Linked DNA regions of Styela clava. The protein of the gene in region 1 interacts with the protein of each later gene in a pairwise test. Links are inferred from orthologs where the notes say so. Each region holds a gene or a part of one and is shown in the gene's direction. Other genes may lie near its edges. The genes, in order: vacuolar protein sorting-associated protein 33B-like and spermatogenesis-defective protein 39 homolog.

The links.
Region 2: the proteins of vacuolar protein sorting-associated protein 33B-like (region 1) and spermatogenesis-defective protein 39 homolog interact in binary tests that used the Homo sapiens proteins (3 or more experiments, as listed by UniProt). The link is inferred for Styela clava from reciprocal best matches to the Homo sapiens genes VPS33B and VIPAS39.

Annotation. Positions count from the first base shown.
Region 1 is NC_135251.1:15,320,976-15,332,156, reverse strand, and holds the start of vacuolar protein sorting-associated protein 33B-like, read left to right. Parts: upstream 1-6,124; 5' UTR 6,125-6,277; coding exon 6,278-6,581; intron 6,582-6,779; coding exon 6,780-6,961; intron 6,962-7,386; coding exon 7,387-7,620; intron 7,621-7,999; coding exon 8,000-8,142; intron 8,143-8,233; coding exon 8,234-8,333; intron 8,334-8,663; coding exon 8,664-8,811; intron 8,812-9,470; coding exon 9,471-9,682; intron 9,683-9,945; coding exon 9,946-10,214; intron 10,215-11,181. Other genes in the region: uncharacterized protein LOC120336189, read left to right, coding at 1,139-1,274, 1,631-1,797, 1,893-1,970, 2,054-4,324. UniProt on the Homo sapiens protein: May play a role in vesicle-mediated protein trafficking to lysosomal compartments and in membrane docking/fusion reactions of late endosomes/lysosomes.
Region 2 is NC_135250.1:4,100,505-4,112,544, reverse strand, and holds the start of spermatogenesis-defective protein 39 homolog, read left to right. Parts: upstream 1-6,444; 5' UTR 6,445-6,562; coding exon 6,563-6,586; intron 6,587-7,083; coding exon 7,084-7,220; intron 7,221-7,911; coding exon 7,912-8,008; intron 8,009-8,691; coding exon 8,692-8,770; intron 8,771-10,203; coding exon 10,204-10,337; intron 10,338-11,020; coding exon 11,021-11,156; intron 11,157-12,040. Other genes in the region: general transcription factor 3C polypeptide 4-like, read left to right, coding at 3,525-5,678.

The DNA of each region.
Region 1 (11,181 bases):
GCTTTCCTAAAAAAATATGTGCGGCCCGCCAAGATTTGAAACCCTTAATTTTAGCCCGCATGCGAAAAAATGTTGCTGACCTCTGATGTACATATATTTGGACATTCTTCTCATGTTTTCAAGAAGTACTGAAACTATTATCACGTGATTTCAAAATTCATCCTGATCAACTTGACTGACTGCCACTGTGACGTCAGAAACGTAACTATTGTCAAAGAATCCAATAGGTAGTATGCCAGAACAAAAATATGAATAAACCAAGAAAACTAGTTTATGTTGAAAGAATAAAATTACTAATATATTTCAAAACATCAACTTTGATTATCCTTATTCTACGCACGGAGTAAGCTTTTTTTTTTTGAATGTAGCCTTTTTTTAAATATTTTTTACCTTTGTCATTTGGAACCAAGTTGAATTATCTGGTAACATATAAGGAGGTAACTTCTCAGGCATAGTTACGAATGTAACGTTCTGATTGGACGAAATAATATTTCCATTGTTCTGAGTTTCCCTGGTAACAGAAGATCAGATTTCCGTTATAAATTTGATTTCTGCTGTTTGCTAAACTGCACTTCAAATTGTGAGAAATCGTTAAAAAGATTAACCAGCTTCCGATATCCACCAACAGGTAAAATGAATCTAATTAAATATAACGTTAGGCTTATGAAAAATATAAATACCTAGATCAATTTGCATAGAGGTGGTTTTGTAACGATGTATATCGTATTGCAACGTTGAACCACTGAAAACATGTCAGAAATATGGAAATATACATTGATAAACTCGATACAAGACGAAGTTTTATTAAATATATATTCGCAAATATTATAACAGAAACAGACATGAAATCTACCCACAAAAGTATCATCCATTTCTGGAAACTTTTGTGATAGAACTGCTGACGCAAGATCGAACGCGAACGCAATGCTTGTGCCAAAAGTTCTGTGTGTCAGGTCCAAAATAACTTTTGGACACAATTGGCACATTTTCGTTTTTTATTATGTATTTTTTTTATCTCCGTTTGGTACTAAATACAATTGAACATTCACGTTTCAAGGTTGTTTTTAGACGCCAATTGCTTGAATAAAATTCACTCGTTGGAATACAAATCGAAAAACTTGCAGACAAATCTGTAAGTATGAATGAGGAAACTGTTGAAAGATCCTCAAATATGTCAGCTACTGATGAAGAGTTTGATAATAAGGATGAACTCTGTCCCCGCGTTGGCATACATCTTCAGAAAAGTACAAATGAATCGGCATGTAAATACGATGGTATGTATACACTTGACTTGGGGTCATTGTATTTATATAAATAAGCTATGTGCTGATTTTTATTTTATCCAAATATAGATGTTAGACACAAAATTGACTACTTGGTCTGCAGTTTTATTTCTTGCCAAGAATCAGTTTAATGTTGCGTTGATAATTCATATTCTGTTTGAAAAATAATATATATTTTCAATGAATAGATTATTAATATAAGATGAATTTTTTTCACAAATTCTGTTAATGTTGTATGCACAATTCAGACGTATGATTTTTTCAATTCTTCAAAAATATCATATTTGAAACATTTGTAACGGAGCAAAGAATTTCCAAATATATAACTTCACAATTGCACATTTCAGAAACCGATAGAAAGCTTTCTTGGAATAGCCGACCAATTGAAAAAGAGAGTATGTTGTCAGCGGTCGTCAAAAATACACCTCGTGTGGAACGAGATGGTGGAGATGCAAGTACTGGATGTAAAATAAAATCCGAAGTTAAATTCATGTCAAACGCTTGCGAAGACAAGGTAATTATTTTATTTCAATTCACTACGACTGCAATATGCATGAAAATAGTAACCCAATGGTATCAAATTATTAACATTTATTGTGTTTATTTTAGCGTTTGAAAGTACAACAAAAATTTGTTAATCTGGAGACCAAAAACAACACTGGTCAATCTGCGGATCAGACTGTAATGGTAAGTTTGAGAGGTCGAATATAGAACAAAAAAAAAGAAATCTGCTAAGAGCAAAATGATAAAAATATATTTGTTATATTCAGGAAAGTAATGATCGTTCCAGCACAAACACGTCTCGACGCCAGCTGGAAGATGCTTTGATGGCACTTAACATCACACGAGCTCATGCAGATAAAATGCGCAATCGGTTGCATTCATGTTCATCCACCTTGAAGGAACAAACCGATGATCTTCGTATCTCATCACGTGCTTTATCGTCAGCTTTAGATAAAGTGGAGGAATACAAGAAAAAGTGGCAAGAGGAAATCTCTCTGAAAGAGGGCGTTTTGAGAAGAATAAAAAACCAAGAGAGTAGAGCAAGATTCTTGCAAAATCTAGAGACTGATTTGAAGCTTTTTCAACGTGGATATGAGAAGCTTGGTGAACTTTTCGAATGTAAACTGTCTTTACAAAATATTAATGAAAGCTCAACGTTCATGTGGAACAAAGTTAAAAATCTGCTCAATTTTGTCGATCACGTGCAAGTTGCAGCTTCACTTGCCGCTACTGCTCATGAACTACAACTGAAGGAACGTACTGAAGCATTTGAACGTGAGAAATGTGTCTGGCAAAATCTTTTAAAAAACAAAGATGAAGTTTGTGAAGCCAGGATGATCCGACTAAGATATGAGAACAACAAGTTGAAAGAAGAATTGAATGCAGCGCATGAAACAGTAGAACAGACAAGAGATTTACATCGACGAGAGAAAGATGAAAGTGAAGAGATATTTAAGAATGATGCTTATAAAATAGGAATGCTTGGGTGCATTAGCAAACAAAACTATACCTTGTTGTCTCAATCGCATTCATCAATGAAAGTGTTATTGGAGAAAAATACTAAAATCTGTCAATCAATGGAAAAAGAAAATGCTGATCTGCGGGTCGACATGAAGAGAATTGAATCTCTTCTCATTCAGATGACAAATGAGTTCAAACCAGGAAACATTCAGAAACAAGACAAATCAATCGAGTGTAACGTTCCTATCATGCAATATGATGAAATAAAAAAACAAAAACATGATTTGATGAAGGAAAATGAGAATATGAAGCAATCTTTGACTAATGTCAGGAAAGAGTTTGTTAGAAAAAACAATACATATAACCGAATGTATTCCAACTTCCAACGTCTGAAATCGGCGTATCATCAACAAGAATTGACTTTTCAACATCTACAAGCTGACAATTCAGCGTTGCGCAAATCCATTGAAAGAAAAGATCAAGGCGCCTCGGATACCAATAGAGAACTGTCTCCACGGCAGACCGTTGATAATGAGAATCCGGTTTGTAAACGTCAACCATTGACTGTACCTTGTGATAAAATTGTAGGAGAATCTGCCACAACTAATCTCGACAAAAGAGATGGTACTCTGGAAAAACTGGAATTGTCGTCAATAAAAAATTGTCTGTTAAAGAAAGGAAGTCGTAGCATCACTGACATTTCCGAAGAAAAGACAAAACCGGTGGAAAATTTTGCGACATCTACACCGGTGAAAAGAACCTTAAAACAAAACCTGAAACCTCGCACGGTTCCCGCAATATGTCCTTCCATCGATTCTGACCGATCTGAAACTTCAGCAAGACGTGGGCGTTCAGAGAGCGCAGTTGAGCAGACAATAAATGAAACCAGATATACCGATGATAAACGTCCCACTGGAAAGAAAGACAAAAATAGCAGATCCGTTTTTAATCGAAAAACTGTGCAATCGTGTGACGAAGACATTCATGTAACGGGATCTAATATTATAAAGGATTATGATTTGAATAGAAAGCCAGGAAATTTTGGCATGATTCGCTCTCCTATATTGGATAGACCAAAAAATCGTCTTGTAGGCATTCCCATGTCTGAACAAGAATTTCAGAGACTAGTCGGATCGATGAACGAAGATAATTCCACCTTGAAGGACGATGGATATCATACTTTATCTGATACGGATCATGAAATGAAGTCAGCTCATGCCTCAATGTCAAATACGCGTATTAATTCAAATTCCTTTAGTCTAATATCCTCTGCACCTGAGTTGAAAGATAAAACTTCAGGACGGATCAATCGTACTCATAAAATACCACACAAAAATATCAGCGATCAGTACTTGGTGACGTATAGAGGAGTTACATTTGATGTAGCATCGTTTAATATAACGCAAATGCGTCACATTTCATGGAACGAAGGATTTTCTGATTCTCAGGAAGAAATGCACAAGTTTATTGACTTTTTAGCTGAAGTAGCTCTAGAATTGGACCATGATCCAGACTGGTGCAAAAGACATTCACTTGGAAAGTCGTCAGATTGGTTAGAACTGAAACACTTGCTATGAAAACATTTACTCTAATGTCATGTGAACATCGCTAATTCTATGCAATGATGCTTCCCATTTAACGTATATTTTATTTGGCCGTTTTTTTTTATCTTCATTCGGCTTTTTTATTTTTTCTATTTATTTTTATTGAACTGTTTATTAGACCATGATTTTAATAAAGTAACATGCCAATTTGGTGAATATTTGTTTGCCAGTGTCATATTTTTTATGATTATTTTTATCAATTTCATGAATATTAGTTATACAGAGAAATTTTCATCTTCCCGGTAGTATTTTTAATAAAAGGTTGTTGATGAGTGATAATAGATTTTTTCTTGTATTTCTATCTCTTCAATTTACTTGCTCAATGAAAGTTAAGAATGATTTAAAGTGTCAGGAATTAGAGTAAGTAAAAATAATATGAGGTAAACACGATTTTTTGTAAACTTATCTTGGGATCTAATTACGCTCTCAAAGTTTTATATTATGTATCGCCGTGATCGGATATCGGTCCACATAAAAATTAAGAATTAACCGTAGGCGGTTGCAAAGACTTCTGTACTTTTGTATTACGGGACCGTAAGCGCTTCAAACATGCGAACATGTCTGACATATACAGTGTTTCCCCGAAAATGAGACCGGTAACAATAAAAAATTTTCGTCGTATCTCCCTTAATAATTTCAGTATCGGTACACTACTAGGCAGATTATTAATTTCTGGGTTTCGGGTAGACATTTACGACTTTGTTTGATTCTTGTAAGCCACAACATGGATAATTTTTCCAAAAGAAAAGGTAACGATCAAGTAAAAAAAAAAAAAGGAAAACTCGAAGAGTTGTAGTAAGAAAGTATGACTCTGATTACAGGATTAATCAAGTTCATTGACAGATTGATGAAGGAAACGAGATAGCGATCGAAGACCGCCGACTTATCGATCTAGCGGTGTGTATTCTCCGCTCTGACTCGATAGCGACACCGCGTGTCCCATCACTAATTAATTAATAACTCGCTAATTATACGACATCGAATTATCATTCATCCAAAATCAACAGGCTTTTGGTCAGAGATATGATGAATGCACATGCAAAATTTGGAGCAGATTCACACTCGCTTTCGTGAGATATCGCGTAACATACGAAAGTGTCTAACAACAAACAGACAGACATATACCTATCAAAGTACTTACCGATCGATATCGATAGGTAAAAAAAGCACAGTGTTGAGTTCCATTGCTGCATTGCGGACTCGCATTGCGAGTAAGCTTATCTTCTATAAAGCTTCGACTTATTTTGATAATACTGGAATACTGTAATATGTAAGCTCAATTTTGGCAATAATAGTAAATTGCGTGTGGATAGATTGTCTCTTTTCTCATATATTACGGCACAGCATTAACATTTCATTGTCTGATTGTGGGCATAAAACTGTACCGGTACCACATAAACATTGATGCCCTCTTTCACCATTTCAGTCTTGTATACAGTTCATATGCTACCGTATCTCAATTGATTCCAGTCTGCCAGTCGTTAATTTCTGAATTTGATTTCATTTACCATATCTGCATTTTGCAGTATTGCTGTATTGACTTGACTGCTTTAACTTTAAGTTTCCGAGACCGGGTTGCCTATGGCAGTATGGGCCATGGCTATGGGAGTATGGCGGTGGCTCAATATATTTCAGTATTTGGGCCTGGCCCAATACTGCAATAAGGCAATAGATTGAGGTTATTTATTTTGATTTCCAAAAGAACAGAAAGAATGTCAGAATGCGTGTGTGACCTTGCTTAAAGATTCAATTAATTAATATTCGAAACTTGGTTATATCAACAGCACAGGTACGGTAGTCTGATAATATAATAAGATATCATAAAACATCCTGGTTTTCTAGTATTGGAGGAATGTGAATCTATAATTTCATGTGATTTGTGATCCAGTAATTCATGTAATTCAATATTAAAGGAAAGACTGAAAGATGTCGTCTATGCAACCGAAAATTCCTGATATGAGCGTGTTGAAGGATTATGCTCAAGAACAGCTCACAGTCTTGCTTGAAAACTTCTATGGAAAAAAGGACTTGGTCATAGATCCAGATCTTATGACACCTCTTGATCGGCTGACTGGCTTAACTTTTCTAAAGCAACGAGGAGTAGATAAAATATTCAAATTGGAGCATAAGGAAATACTTGGAGGATGTGATCAACGAGTTTATATTGTACGTCCCGAAATAAACAATATGAAGCATATTGCTGCACATGTACTATCGGACAAACGATCAGGTGAAAATTTCTTTATTATTACCTGTTATGACAATATAAGTTCAGATTCCCGTGAAACCTGACAGACAATAGCTGCAGATCCACATCATGACATAGTGATTCATGAAAGCACCTACTACTGTACTGATTTGCACATCAAAATTTTCAAATTATTATTAAACATCAAATTATTATTTAATTTTCTTTGATATTTTTCAGAAAAACTTCGAAAATATAGAGTTTTGATGGTTCCAAGACGTTTGTCTATTTGTGAAATGGTGCTAGAACAAGAAGGTGTTATAGGATTTTTAACAATAGAAGATCTACATATTGATTTAATCCCTGTAGATGTTGATATTGTGTCACTGGAATTACCTCAACTCTTAAACTCATTTTTTATGGTAATTTATTTAAAACTAAAGAAGTTATTGAGCCTATATGAATAAATCCCACTCGAAAGGGCACTCAATTCATTGGCGGCCCTATGTAAGGGCATACACCAATTAGGGATGGAGATTAACACAAAACTAATCAAGCTCCTACCATTCTTTCATTTTATTTCACTTATGATGCATATGAAAGTATCGTTTATTTTTTATTGCATAGTTCCATGCAATTTGTTCTCTGATCATATGGGATTCGGTTTAAAGCAACTATTAACCTACACAATGCAAATTAGCTTATGTCACATTTCAAGGTTTTAAGAAAATCATATTTTTGTAATAATTTAGTTCTAACAGGCAGACCTAAATATGGAGAGGAGGCACCCCCTAATTCGAAACTAAGAGCTAAAAGATGGCTACCAGTTTTCTATTTTGTAATTCAGGATGGAGATCAGACATGGTTGCACACAGTTGCACGATCTATTGTAAACTTGCAAGCGATTTTTGGTTCTATTCCAAACATTTATGGTCAAGGAAATTCTGCTTCGATGGTTGATGATCTTGTTAAAACACTGACAGTTGAATTGGAAGAAAAACGAACTTCATTGGAGACCAATATTGGACATCTTGTATTGATAGATAGAGATGTCGACTATGTTACACCACTTTGTTCACAGGTACATACATTTGTTGAAAGAATGTGGTTGAAGCAGATGTTTTCTTTATGATCTTGTCTAAAATTGCCTAAATTTTAGGTCTTCACCAACATGCTTACTAGATATATTCAGCTTACTAGATATGTAGGTCTCTTCAATTATCGATATGCTGAAGTTGTAACATGATCACAATCAACCTCTTGAAATTAAAAATGTATGAATGCAAAAAATTACCCCCCTGGAAAACATTTGAAGATTGATTCTTAATTAAGTGATGAAAGCAACATGCCAACATTTGCATGCTGATGACCACTGGATATGTTCAATAAACCTGAAAGTGAAATGCCACAGTGCTGCCATATACTTTGCAATGTAATGTTCATGTCAATTTATTGTGTAGGTCACATATGAAGGCTTATTGGATGACATATTTGAAATCAAATGTGGAGTGATAGAATTTGGAGAAGAGGTGACTGGGTCAGAGAAGAGTGTTAAAACTGTGTTAAATTCTAGTGATGAGATTTTTCAAGAAATAAGAGATAGGTAATATGTAGTTTAAAATACAAAATAACTCACAAAATATTTTATACTCAGCTATAAATCTGACGTATTTCATAATATTATTTCTTTTCAGACATTTCACTAATGTGTTTCAATTTTTGAGTGTGAAAGCAAAAGAGGTTCAAGCTGGATATGACAAGAGACATGACATGAAAGAATTGAGCAATTTGAAGGTACTTTTTGTTTTATATTTTGTTTTGATCCATTATTCATGAAAGAGTGACTCTTCATCATGACACATATGGTAAGATGGAGAGGCATTATTATTTAGCAATTTTACGAAGGTCCAACTGAAAAACTTGACGTTTTTGGCATTCAAGAGTATTCATATCCATGCATCTATTGTTTTTATTGTTATTGATGGTGTGTTTCTGTTGCGCCAACTTCCTCAAACTCATCTTTATAAGCATTCCTGGGTCATCCTTACCCATTTAACATGTAAATATATTTATTATGGGGATTTTTCCATAACTAAATTTTGTCAATTTTCTAACTCCATGCAGAAATTTGTCCAAGAAGATCTGAAGGGATTAAAGCAGGTGCATAGATCAATAACATTACACATAGGTGCTAGTGAGGTGATTCTGAAAAGCAAAACGAAAGGTTCGCTCAAGAAAGGGGATCTACAAGATGTTCTTAGGATTGAGCATCGTAAGTGATAAATACTTTGAAGTGCATATTTTAGCGACTCTCATCTTATTTCGCTTATTTTGAATATTTCCTATGTCATGTATTGAGCTGGTGATAGCATAATCATAATGTATGGACTCCTGTGTCAATGTGAAGTAAATTTATATCTTTGCCATCAAATTGTTTATACCCATACTATCAAAATATCAAGTTTTCGCTTCACTGCAGTGTGTCTACTGTAAGTGTATTGTATGGGTGATTCTATCTATATCAAAGATACATAATCAGGACCAAAAATACAGTATTTTGATGCTTCTCAATAAATTTTGGGCCATGAAACAGACCTTAATATTATAGAGATGAAAATTTTTTCTTTATTTTTCTATTCTCTTAATATGAGTTTGTCATTAATTTTATTTATGGTATATTTTTGATATCGGTGTCGAACCACACCATGGTATTGGGTATAGAAAATAAATTCTTGGTATTGGGTATAGAAAATAAATTCTGTATTGATCAAATATAGACCTAATCAGGATTATCTGGCTAATCTCCATCTGGGTACAATACATCATCAGTGCAATAGAAAATGTTAATGATTCTCAATAATTCTAGTTTTTAACAATCAAGTTGTATAATAGATTAAGTTAACCAATTGTACCTGTATTTTATGATTTCAGACCTACTAGAAGGAGTTGAGTCAAGAGAGTGCATGTCTTATGTGGAGGAATGCATTCATCGACAGTATGACATATTGTTAACATTAAGGTTGATTTGCTTACTCTCATGCACATCTAGTGGTTTATTACCTAAGGATCTACAAAACATTCGACACCAATTTCTCCAGAGTTATGGCTATGAATATATGTTGACTTTATTTAATTTGAAGAAGGTAAGAAGCTTTTCAAATTTGTGTTAAAATCTAATTGATTCTTGTATGACTTAAATGTATTCACTGCATTCTAGTAAAAGAAATTCAGATTACAAAGGAATTGTTTAGCTATGTGGCATTTAACACGACTTTATTATGTAGACATAGTGCCAATCACATTGAGAAAAGCCTGATATGAGTTTTAAAGTATCAGTGAGAACAAGAAAATTTACCTATTAGCGTTTCTTGCCTACTTGTCATCCCACCAAATTTTGGTTTTACAGGCAGGCTTGTTAACAGAGGCACAAAAAGAAGGGCAGTCAACAACTTCCATTGAAGCAAACCTCAATAAATATGCTGAAAAGGCAGTGATGGGTCCTGCTGTATCATACGTTGCTAGCTCATTAGCTTCTCTACAGAAGCGAGACTGGTTTAGAACCGTCAGTAAGAAGTTAAGTCTCATTCCAAAAAATACTGCGGGACAATATAACCTGAAAAATCCAGAAGATATGGCCTATGTTTTTGGTGGTGCGTACGTTCCATTGACATGCAGGTGAGTGGTGGTTTCTGTGACGGAGATGGATAACGATAAGGACAAAATATATTTGATTTAAGCAGGTGTATATTTGGGATATTGACATGTTGGCAGTTTTCATATAAAACAAGTGAAGTAAATAATATTTGATAATAATAGATTAATATTTGAGTTTTTAGTAATTTTGTTAAGCTTTGATTTTAAAAATACAGCAAATATTTGACAAATTGCATTTGAACAGTTACATTATCTAATCCAAATTACTGAATTGATTGTTGGACCTGTTCTTTGAGCTGTTGTATCAAAATCTCCACCTTCTAATATCAGTATAACATGATTTGAGCCAGGGGTGCACAACTCAAATGAGCATACATGCCAAAATTGTCAGAATAATCTTTTCTTGTGCCATGTCACGTTTGAAATTTTTAAATAATTGTTGGTATTGTAAACATAATAATGAATACCTATTTACTGAAATATTTTAATGTCATGAAAAACTGCTGTTTTGATGATATTTGTGATGGGCCAAATTTGAAATGTTGGGATTCAGAGGAGATAGAGATGCAAACTACTGAATCTAAATGCTCTGCATGTTTGAATGAATTTGCTGATTTAAATTATTAAAACACCCAACAGGGTTTATTTTACTAGTCAGAATAATCATGTTTTACCTATACCTAACTAGTAACTGCTCGCTACTGTAGGTTGGCCTTATTTTTACCTACTACCTTTTGATAACACGGCCACAATCTAGCAATGTGTGAATAAACACAACGATTTAAGTTTTTTTGTTTTAACTTGAGTTAATATGATTTATTATAAATAGATACATTACTTTGTACCAAACCTTTGGCGTGCCACGTTTAATCTTATGGCGTGCCACATAGGGCATGCATGCCCCATGCTGAGCACTCCTGGTTTAGGCTATATATATACTTAATAGTTTAACTTGGTAACTCCATGTTCCTATCTCTGCCTCATCACA
Region 2 (12,040 bases), on another chromosome or scaffold:
TCTATAATTCTCTATATTTTTCTACATATTCCATGCTTCAAGTCCATGTTTCCGAAAACAAACAATATAACTAATCCCATACCCGACTTGGAATGGTAACCGGACGAGAGACCGTGGTTCTTCTCTGAGAGACCTTATCCTAATAAATACATAAATAACCGCACTCCACTGGGCGACTGGTTCATATTCTGTACTGTAGCTACGTTTTCTGTCTAATAGATATGCATTCCCAATAAGCATATGCCCATAGTTGTATGCTTTCAGCGTACCATACTTCGAAACCCAAAACCAAATATGTATTGAAGAATTAAAGACCTCAATACGGCCAATTTCGCACCCGACTCGGCTGAAGCAAGGGATCTTGGCAGCGAGCAATGCGTTTTCTTAATATGCAACGAACCATTTAGCCGGACGACGTAAAAAATGCAGGGAACAATACCAAAATGAGCAAATCTTTGCAAGTTTCCACTCATTGTATATATGCTCATTGGTTCGAAGTAACACAGGAAAAAACACAAAAAGCTATATACATTGGAACTATTTACCAAAACAATATCCAAACACTGTCAATATTGGCAGGCAACATGGAGGTGTAAAACCATTTATTAAAACAGTAAAAGCAATCTCAGTTACACACTCACACAAAGAAATTCCATGAGCAAAAGTGAAACATTGATGTTACAGTAGAAAATTCAAATTATGCTGGTGTTCTAGGTGGTACATAACCACTTATTGGCAGCAGAAGAGGAAAAAATAGATATTGCCAAAATAATATCCACAGAGTAAGGTTGCAGGAGCTCATAAAAATCGAAATGTCTTTTGGTTGATTTCCTCATTGTAAATAAAATCCGACGTTGTGATGTGCTGTACACTAGGTGCAATGTTTCATATAAAATGCCTGTCTGTCCATCTCTTTTTCCTTAGTTCTTTGCGAAGCAAGTATGTAAAATTGGAATCTTGGGTAACCCGTACAGCAATGCCAAAGTAGTCTTTATTATCCGAATCCTATTATTTCGTTGTTCATCATTTAGAATGTTGATTGTTTCTAATTGTTGTATTCCATTTGTTTCCACTAACCAAGTTGTTATCTTCGGCGCTATTACTTTTTGTTTAGTTTTCAATTCTAGTATTTCACCTGTTTACCCTTCCATGCTTCTAGCTGTGACTTGAGACATGTATTGTAGCCTACTAAACCCAATTATATATTTGGGGTTCCTTTAATTACCGGAACGGACCCTAAATTACCGGAACGGGGTGGAAAACATACATAAACCTTCCGGAACGGACCTTTAGATGTCTTGCATATGTCATTTCATATACTTCCATGCAATTTTTATAATAAATCGGCAAACTTGGGAGGGGAGGAGGGGGGTCAGTGGTAAAAATAATTTTCTTTAATTACCGGAACGAATTAAATTGCCGGAACGCAGTGAAAAACCTACCTAAACTTACCGGAACGGACTTGTATAAATCTTGCAAAGGATATTTTATGTTCTTCTAAGCGATTTCTCAAATATAATTAGAAAATTTGGGGGGATAAATGGTAGAAAATACCAATTTCATTTTGCGCCGCCTAGTGGATGTAAATTGAGCAATCAATTCCTGTATCATCTCTTATCAATATGAATTAATGATAAAAATCGATAATCAAAACCTTCTTATATGTTATTAGCCTTTAATTTTCCTTGTAGATAAGATAACGTAGTCATAGATTCAGATTGAAACAAATAAAAATTGTTTCCACAAACATTCTTGTGCAGGTGTTGTGACTATGTAGCACAACATAAATATCCACCTAAGCCTGTCATTAAAATGAAAATGTTGTTATTTTAGTTCGCGTTCCTGTCAGCCGTAAAAAGTGCCGTTCCGGCACTGTAATCTACCTTGATATATTGCATATTGCTTCGTGTCCATATATTTGAGCATCGTCCTCTTGTTTATCTACATACATACAAATCTGATCCTCTAAAATGACTCCTTCAAAATTTACTAATATGTTAAAAACTGTTTTCACAAACATTTTTGTGCAGACATTGTAACTATGTAGCTAAACATTTTATATTGGAACTGGTTGAAGTACGTGAACATATTTGACAAAATACTTGAATTTAAAATTTCAGCATAGGAAAATGCGAGAGGTGACCACGAGTTGAAAACGATTGTCGCTATAGCCTTTATAGCGAGGACGGTTCAGAGTGCTCCTGCTGATTTCTCTACTGATAACACAGCTTCGAGCCCCGTTATCTTATCTACAAGGAAAATTAAAGGCTGATAACATGCAAGAAGGTTTTGATTGTCGATTTTTACCACTGTCCCCCCAAGTTTGCCGATTTATTATAAAAATTGCATGGAAGTATATGAAATGACATATGCAAGACATCTAAAGGTCCGTTCCGGTAGGTTTATGTATGTTTCCCACCCCGTTCCGGTAATTTAGGGTCCGTTCCGGTAATTAGAGGAACCGATACCGGTGTATTTGCACATACCAGATTTTGCGGAGTCTTTTTTCATCTTTTTTTAAATCCCAATTACTCCTCAGCACGTAGCAAACGGCAGCAAAGCAGAAGTGATGATGTAAATTTAAACTACGCCAAATTCATATTACCAAAGATTGATTAAGATACAAATGTATACGTCCTACCTCCAAGCGGCTCACGCCGAAAGAAGAAACGTAGCAATTTTAGAGGAGGCGTTCATTCACAGTTATAGTCTAGTAGGGACATAGCGGGAATCGACAGTCTCATAATGATGTATCGACATAACTATTCTCGTAGAGACGAAGTCATTTCATTGTGGATATAACCATTATAGTAGACTGTATTGACATACCGGCACCGTAAGCGTAACGGACATCGCTATTTTAGTAATGTAGTAGGAACATGGCGGTAGCCGGTAGGGTAGCAAATTTTCAAGGTTCTAGTCTGGACTACAGTCATTGGATTAGGTAACGTAGGGCGTAAGGTTAAGTTGTTGCAATGTAGGCCTACGTACACAAAATTACAATACATATTTTCAGATTTTATATTGAAACAAATATCAGAATATTGCAGAACATAATCAATAATTTGGATAAGCGAACACGTACCGTACTACTACAGTACTACTTTTATCAATACCTTCCCACCTAAAATCTGTACACTTTAAAACTTACTTGAGGTTTCGTTTGCTTTCTCGATTCTATAATCAGTTTTATTTATTACTTATCTATATTTAGATAGAGTCATGAATCGAAACCGCAGTTTCGATCGATAAGTCTTCAGTCTCCGACCGACATTCTCGTTATGTTTTTATCAAATATTTTATCGTCTATTGCTGATTATGGAGTCGAAATAAACTTACTTACTTACTAATTAATTATCTTTGAAACGAACTGGACACATCATCTACTATAGGGTCTATTACACAGCTTTATTGCAGTACTGTGTACCGGTATTTGTCCAACACTTACAGGTACACCCTTATGGAAAACTAAACTCCTATTTCAAATGTTTAAATTTATTCAGGTGTGGTAGCTTATCATCAGTATGGAACTTGCTACCAGTAACAATAAGACAAATGTTTTATCTGTTGCAAGCAATGTAGACTTGCGGGATAGGATCGTTGGCGATTATGTATTGGACTGGTCAAAAGATAATTGCATTGCAGTTGCTACGAGTAAAAATGTAATGCTATATGATCTGAATCCATTATATGACGTGAACAGCTCGGAAATGTGTTTCAAAATCCAAGCCATCTCGCCGATTGAATCGCTTGATTACGACGCTGGAGCTCGGAAAATGATGTATGATTATGACATGTTGTGTGCTGTACCGTCCAAAAATTCTGCTTACCCTGACTTCGAAATTTATCGAATGCATATGGATCTTAGCATAAATAGATCTCATGGATCAGAAGAAGTTGGAGACATGGGATTCCGAGCGGTTCAGTTTTCACCACTAGGGTGTGCAGTAGGTAGCGGAACTGTTCTTGCCACTTTGACAATGGGGCATCAGCTTCAATTGTTTTCAAAATCTTCTGATGGTATATTTGTACAATGGAACAACATTAGAAATCTAACTGAAATATTAGTCAAAATTCTGCTTAAAAATGAACAATATTACCCTAAAATTAAATTCCCAACACAAAAATTAAAATCCCAGAATATAGTCGAGAAACAATATGCACCTTGTATTGTTTGCATGGAATGGTGGGATAAAACATACATAAAAAGTTCCAATGAAAAATTTATATTTCTTGCCACTGGTACGAAAAATAACTTTGTAATAATTTGGAAGTTGCATCTGCCGATTAGTTCAACTTCAGTTGTGACTATTGTGAGTTACATTAAAACAAATTTAAAAGGGATTAAAAGTATTAGCTGGTTGAAAATTGGATCGAATGAAGAAGAAATTCTCAAACTAGCAATTGGGGGAATTGAAGGCGTGGTCAATTGTTTAGAGATTGACTTAGATGGAAATTTGTTGAAAGAGAATGAAGTTTGGAACGACAGAGACCAGCTCACGGTTTCTGCTATTGATTGGAGAGAAACTGATGAAGGTGATGACACTGGTTTGCTTGTGGCAAAAGGACCTTTGCTTTTATATATGAAAATATCTTCTGATCTTGCGTTGATATCACATTCAGTTTTAATTGGGTTACACATTCTTCCAGTTGTGAATATACAATTTGTAGACCAACCCGCTTCGTGGCTTACAATCAGTAGAGATGGTCGTCAAGCTAAAGTTGTTTTGAAAAAATCTACCGAGGAGAATCTAAGACTACAGTATGAGGTTTTATCGGAGCAGACTAATCAATCTTCTATGGTTTTTCACGAAACAACGCATTATCATATTTTATCACCTAACGGAGCTTTTGTTGCGAATTTACGATCAAAACCCAAAGTATCATTATCTATACTTGTTGAAAATTCAGCGTATTTGGAAATTTTAACTCTTAAAAGCGGAATGGAATGTTTTCAATCATTGTGCGCTCAAGTAGAACAAAATAATGCAGAGGAAAAAATGAAACTAGATTTGGTTGAGTCCATTCGACTTCATCTTATTAACAAAAGTGTGTTTAAGAATGAGTCAGACTCTGTATTACTGAGAACTTGCCTAGAACGGTTTCTTGATTTCGATGATGCGGAAAGCAATAAGTTACGCTTGACATGGATTCTGTTGAAAATTTATTCTGCTGTTTTTTCGGAAGGGGGACAAGATTACTCAAAAAAAATTCTGCAGAATGAAAAAATATTATCAAGCAGGCAAATGATGAAAGTTATAAAACACTGGTTCATAAATTCAAACAATGAAAAAACTGAAACTCATCAAATTCCTATAAAAACTATCATAAATTGGTTGTGGAAAAACAAAAATATTTTAAACGAAGATGATTTTAGTTTTGTAGAAAAGGTACGAACCTCAAAAAATTATGAGCTTGTTAAAAAGGAAACGTGTCCGATAACAAGAGAATTTTTAACCATGTCTGAGGACGCTAAATCTGCCATAACAGAGTCTAAATCAATGACTTGGTTTCGATGTTGCTTGACATTTTGTGCTCTTCATTGTTTCAAAGCAAGAAAGTGTGAAATCAGTAATTCAAGGGCATTGAATTTAAATGATTCAGGGAATGCGGAAGAATGTGCGATCAATGGCCTGTTACAAGATTGTTCAATATACAGTGGTCTTCCTATGATTTAATTGTTTCTTATTTTAATATGCTTCAAAATAAATTCTCTTGACCTTTGACCCATCAGTATGCTTTAATGGGAAATTCCTTAGGATGCTTAGAAACTACCTTGATCTTTGACTCCAAATAGGATAGGATTTTTGTATTCATTTATAATTTACATGCAATCTTGAAAATCTGGGCCAACCTATTGCCTGAGCGATGGTCAAAATTTCATTTATAATTGCATCACAGTGTACTTGTTTATGGTTAGTCATTGAAAAGGAAATAAACAAGGAAGTTATCAATGCTCTGTGAAACATCCTGCTTAATAACACATCATGGCAGGCGTGAATGTTAATAATGTGGAGATGATTATGTTTAAGAGATTGTTGGAACTGTTTTGGGTACACCTGTAGTGTGTGTGCCAGGTTAGGCCAACGTTTTATCCTGATTGCCTTATTTTAATTCTATTGCAAGTTCGGGGACGGCTTCTGTTACCATGTCAATAGGTGTCAGTCCCTTTACACAACCTGATGTAAAGTAGGCGAACAAAATTAGTTACCTCCATATTTGTACACATGCTTCTAGAGCGCTGTTGTGTATAAGGCGCATATACATGTCTTTTGCTCTGAACAAGGTCATATACAAAGGATCCACTGCTATCTAACCATATGAAATCTCTTAGGATTGGCGTTTTCTTATACTATGTGCATTTTATTGTCTTTTTATGACGATATTATTTAAATCATGTTCCACTTATTTTCCCCATTTTTACTTCACTGCCAACACCCTTTTTTTAGCGTAAATTGTATTTATTTACATGAAAATGGTGATATAGAATAGAGAAATCAGAATTGGATTTTTCATGTTTGTTGTTTGGCATTAATAAAGGAATATACAAAAGCAGGAAAAAATGTCAGCAAGAAAAGCGACCAAGGTGACTCAATTCAATACGTTTTCGATAAACTTGATGGGTATGTCAATAAATGGGTTTGAAACTGACATGGGCTAATTACAGCCCGAGGGCCGAATCCGGCCCGTTTGGTAATTCAATATGGCCCGTCGGGTGCTGCCACAACTAAACAAAAACCAAATTTTGATGTTTTAGCTAAAAAATAGCTTAACAAATTTGTTGTGATTGCAATCAAAATTGGTATGAGACTTATTGTTTCTTTGCTTTTGTAACAATTGTTGTTCATGAAATGTAACTTTTTACGTCACACTTACATGGCCCGTCAGTCTAGGTGGGCAAAATTTTTGGCCCCTGATCCAAAAATCTTGCCCATCCCTGGTTTGGAATCATCTGTTGAATTTTTGTAGCATGTGTTCTAGTGACATCTTATGAGGGTTTTTCTTGGTGATTCCGAGCAGAGCCTAATATAAATCTCATCACTTTATTTAATTATACTTTCAAATTCTTCTTCTTTTATGTAGCCGTCCAATGCCAGTCAGGAAGATTCAGAAGACTACTGGAATAAATCTGCACTCACAAAATTTAATTTCGACGATGAAGAAGATGAAGACACAATAGAAGTTACTAATTGGGATGGATCTTCTGCTAATCCTGACAGGTGAGTGTTGCAATGACGTGATCGAATGGAATATTAACTACATTGTAGTCTAGATGTTGTTTTTCTTTAAATATCAGACCAATGGTGAATGGTTTTATATTTTAGTAGGTAAAAGAAGTGTGCCCTCGTTTTTTGTGTTGCAAAAATTGCTTTCTTTTTTCACAAACTTCTTTGATTGAAAATTATTTTTTAGGATTTTGGTGTATCTAGTACAGGGTATTTTCCTGCCTATCAGTAGTTTGTGAAGTAAATGAAAAACACTCTATATGTAAAATATTATGAATTTTCCTTAGAATTCAGATAAGACAAACATAAGCTTGAAACATAATTTATGTAGGTCTACCTATGCACGAGGAAATGAAGTTTGTTTTTGAAATTCTGACTAATAATTTACAAATCTTAGTGAGTTTTTTCAAATATCAAAAGATGCTTATTTCAGCTTTTTGCATCCAAAACAATATGTAAAGAGCTACTCTTTTGAAAAGACAAATATTTTTCGGGTTTGGCATTGCCTAATAACCAATTAATCACACTCTGGGGTTGATGTGGTTGCCTTGAATTAGAATCCAAGTTCTTCACCAAATATCCAGCAATCTGACCACAAGACCATTTCATTCTATTTAAATAAAATACATAAAATTTCTAAGAAATCTTTATCTGTATTCAAGTCTTTACTTTATATGATTTTCAGACCTCATTCTCAAACATCACAGAAGACCAAGGCATCAACTATTGCAACGGCGGTTTCAGCTCGTGCTTTTCGAGGAAAGACTGGCTCAGCTTCTCAGGTGATGACAGATTCTATTTATTTTTTTTGTTTTTCAATTTGTTGTTTATAAAAAGTTGGGGGCTTCCGAAGTATGTGAACCAAGATGGCGGACATCGGAATGTAATATGTGTACTAGGTTAGGGTTAGGCCATAATTTTAGCTATAAATACTAAGGGAGGCTCTTGGCTAGTCTTCGGACTGATAATAGGACTAAAATAAGGAAAATTGGAAAAAAATTATCGCCTAACCCTAACCTGTTACCCATGTTACGTTCCGATGTCCGCCATCTTGGTTCGCATACTTCGAGAGCACCAAAAGTTGGGAGGCAACCTTCAAGTTCGAAAAGGCATCCCGGAAAAATTTGACTACATCTTCAGAAGCATCTTACTTTGTTCTTGCAGTGTTTGCTAGAAGTCCCAAAATACAGTGTCATGTCCAGTTACAGGTAATCCTGCAGACAAGTTTAATAAATCCATTGCCCAAGTTCGAATACTTTGGCGCTAAAATTGCCAAAAATCAAATCTAATAAAAAACTTCTTATGGCAGTGTAGTGGAATAATTAAAATATGATTCTTACCACATTCAATAAAATCAGGGTTAATGAATGATATTCCACTTGTCCCACTTTCGACCTCTTGATTAGACTAAATTGAAGTTCGTATATCAATTCTTCCATCATGTAAAACTATTCTTTTTTTACAGTCTGTAAAATTCTCTGCTCGGGGAGGAGCATCTATGAGTAATAGTGTTGTGTCGCCACTGGAATCAAGTAAAAATGAAAGTGAGTTTTATGTGAAATAGCTGACCTGTAGTGGCTCATTGTTTCATTCCCAATTTTTGATCATTTCGAAAAATTGCTCCACACTGTGAATTCGCAGTAGGGCTGTCCAAACTCGAATATTTTTTTGATTCGAATCGAACCGAATATTTTTCTCGAATCGAACCGAATAAAAGAATATTATTGCGCAATCCTTAATTGTCTCTAATCTAATGTACAAAAAAAAACTTCCTCTTCAATATTGTGTTAACTTATGTGCAGTTATATCTAAATTATTGCAAACATTTTGCATAACTATGTTTCCAGAGTTATAAAAGGAGAACACAATCCTCCTTGAACTGGTCAAAAAAATAGGGTTTTGAAAACTATCAAGTTTTGAGAGTTGAAAATTGCACAGACTCTTTTAATGCTCGTAGTTGCTATTTTAGTCCTATTATCATTAGTATTATTAACTCAATATTTTTAGTGTAATTTTCAGTAAAATGATAAAAACAATTATTAATATAGATATAACTGTTGTCCAAAAAATTCAAAATTGCATTTCGGGAACTCACAAATTCAGAGCTAGTTTGATGACATTAATATTTGATGACCATATTGTTGCTGTACAACAGCCATCAACTCACAAAATTGCAATTATTTGTCATAGTAATAAATTTTATTGGAAAAAGATATTGGACCTCCAAAACTTGATTCAGTCCTGTACCATGTTCCTATGATTACTGACACAACAGCTACAAATCGATTCTATTTATAGAACTGGCGTTTTTTGGCTGACACAAAATTTGCCTTTTTCTCCTTGTGTTCTCTCAAAAAACGTCATCTTTAAATCATTGTTACCAATAACTTTTCATTTATGACCATGCATGGAATGGATAATTACATGTCACCGGGCAATAGGAGAGACCTTTTTACAGCAAAGAAAGCGATAGAAACATGTTTTTGCTTGCCGGTCGTGCAAAGGTGGTCGTGAGGCGCATTATGTACCAAATTTTAGCGATTTCTAAATCGGTCCAAAAACGCTTCGAAATAATTTGCGATTCCATTCGATTTCGAATATTTGGTTCGCTTGGACAGCCCTAATTCTCAGTCAACCGAAATTGGAGAGCGATGTCCAGAAATGGCCAGAACCAAATATTTCACTAATTTGAACACATTCTGAAAGGTCATTGTTTTCTCTGTGTTGTTTATTATTAGTTGAGATATCATACATTTTGATCTGCTTGTCTGATGGCTCTGAATCCCTCTCAATTTCCAAATAAAAATATTCTAAATTATTCCAAACTCAAAATTTTTAATAAATTTGGAGCATATCGATTTGTTTCGGACATCACTGGTGAGGTCCCAAGAAACCGTGTTAATACTAATGTTGTAGGTATATTAGTGTTACCTCCTTGTTTTCTTATATTTTCAAATCTTCAATTTATAATTCCCAGCACCTCAAGGAGTATCAACAACTGTGTTAGCAAAACTAGAAACAGAAAGAAATACTTTGAGAAAACAATTAACCCAAGCAAAACGTGAAAGAGCAACAGCGCCCTCTAAACAAGAAACTTTGAAAAGATTCATGGTAAGATATTTTCACTTGGATTGAATCAAAACAGCAAAATATTGGGTGAATTATTGGGCCCCAAAGGATGCAGAGGGAATTAAAAAAAAAAAAAATGAAGGAATAGCCTTCTATAAGTATTGAGAATTTGAAATAGGTTGTTCCATTTTTTGTAAGGGAAAGCGATTGTCTCGCAACAATTTAGCAAAATCTAAAAGTACACTTCATGTCCAATAATCAAAAGGTTGATAAAATATTGAATTATGCAATTTTTTCAACTTCAAACTTGTGATTCATGCGTTTGAGTGTGGTCATATATAAAGGCGTATTAAATGAAGAAAAAAGGTACTACCGTAGTATGTGAACCAAGATGGTGGACACCGGTTCGTAGTATGTATACCTGGTTAGGGTACGCGATAATTTCAGGTACAAATACCACAGGAGTCACTTGGCTAGTCCCCAAACTCGTTGTAGAACTAAAATCCGGTGTCCGCCATCTTGGTTCACATACTTTGGGAGTACCAGATAAAATACCTAAAAAATAAAACAGATTAAAATGAAACAAACCTGGTTAGGATATATTGAGAATTGACTTTATAACAAAATAGAAATTGTAAATGGACTTTGAAAATGCTCGATACGATTATCAAAATTAGCTTAAAATCTAAAATTATCTAATTTTTCATGATCATTTTTTCTTCCAGCTCGGTGAATCAGTTGTGAAAGAACTGTATCGTTCAGTTGAAGACAAGACAGCATTATTAGATGCTGCAATAAGAAGACATGATGGAAATGCGATTCTTTCTATAACATTATTCATGAGAAATACTTTAAAACGAGGTCAGTAGAAGTCTTCATTGTTCATGATGACTCTTGTCAAAAGACTGAGTTTGGAAATTAATTTTTGCTTTTGAATTGATTTAGGACAATGAACTAATTTTGATATATAATAATAATTCTTCTCAGGATATCCTTTTGAAACATGAATTGGTAAACCTTATGTGGGGAAATACTCTGTAATCTGTATAACTCCTATATGAGCTTTACCCCAATACGATATTTCGCAAATTAAGTTGTTTATAAAATTAAGTTGTATATAATGGGTACTGATAGGATCGCATTTTCAAATCTTCAAAGTTTTTTAAAACTAATGCGTAAAGAGCTAACATATTTGGAAAGACTAGAATCTTTCTGGATCAATACCATGTTACAACCAACTTTGGATCCCCACTGCCTCCCTTCCCCAGTAAAATTATGTTCTTGACTTTTTCGCATATTTCTTGCGATGTATCTGTTATTATTTTACTGGTTGGAAAAAATAAACTTCACTATGACTATGACTATTGCAAACCTATGGCAGTTTTAGCAAAGTCAGTGAGGCTACGGCAATCAACAGCCTTTGTCACACCTTCACTACTACAAACCCTGTACAGTGCTCTGTACAATCAAGCATCCATTGATATGGATGAAGCTATCTTTTGGAAAACCAAAATCTTTCCCATTGGCCCCAAGCCATCATGTAGAATCACAGAACAGCGGTTCCCAACCGAGGGGCCATGGCCCTCAAAATTAATTTCATTGGAATTTCGTTATGTACTTCTTCTTCCACGTTCTCTATAATTTCATACTATAAATATAACCAGAATGATGAACACAGGGGCTACAAGCCGTAAAAGGTTGGGAGTCACTGGCATAGAATTTCATTTTAAGTAGATAGTGTTGCT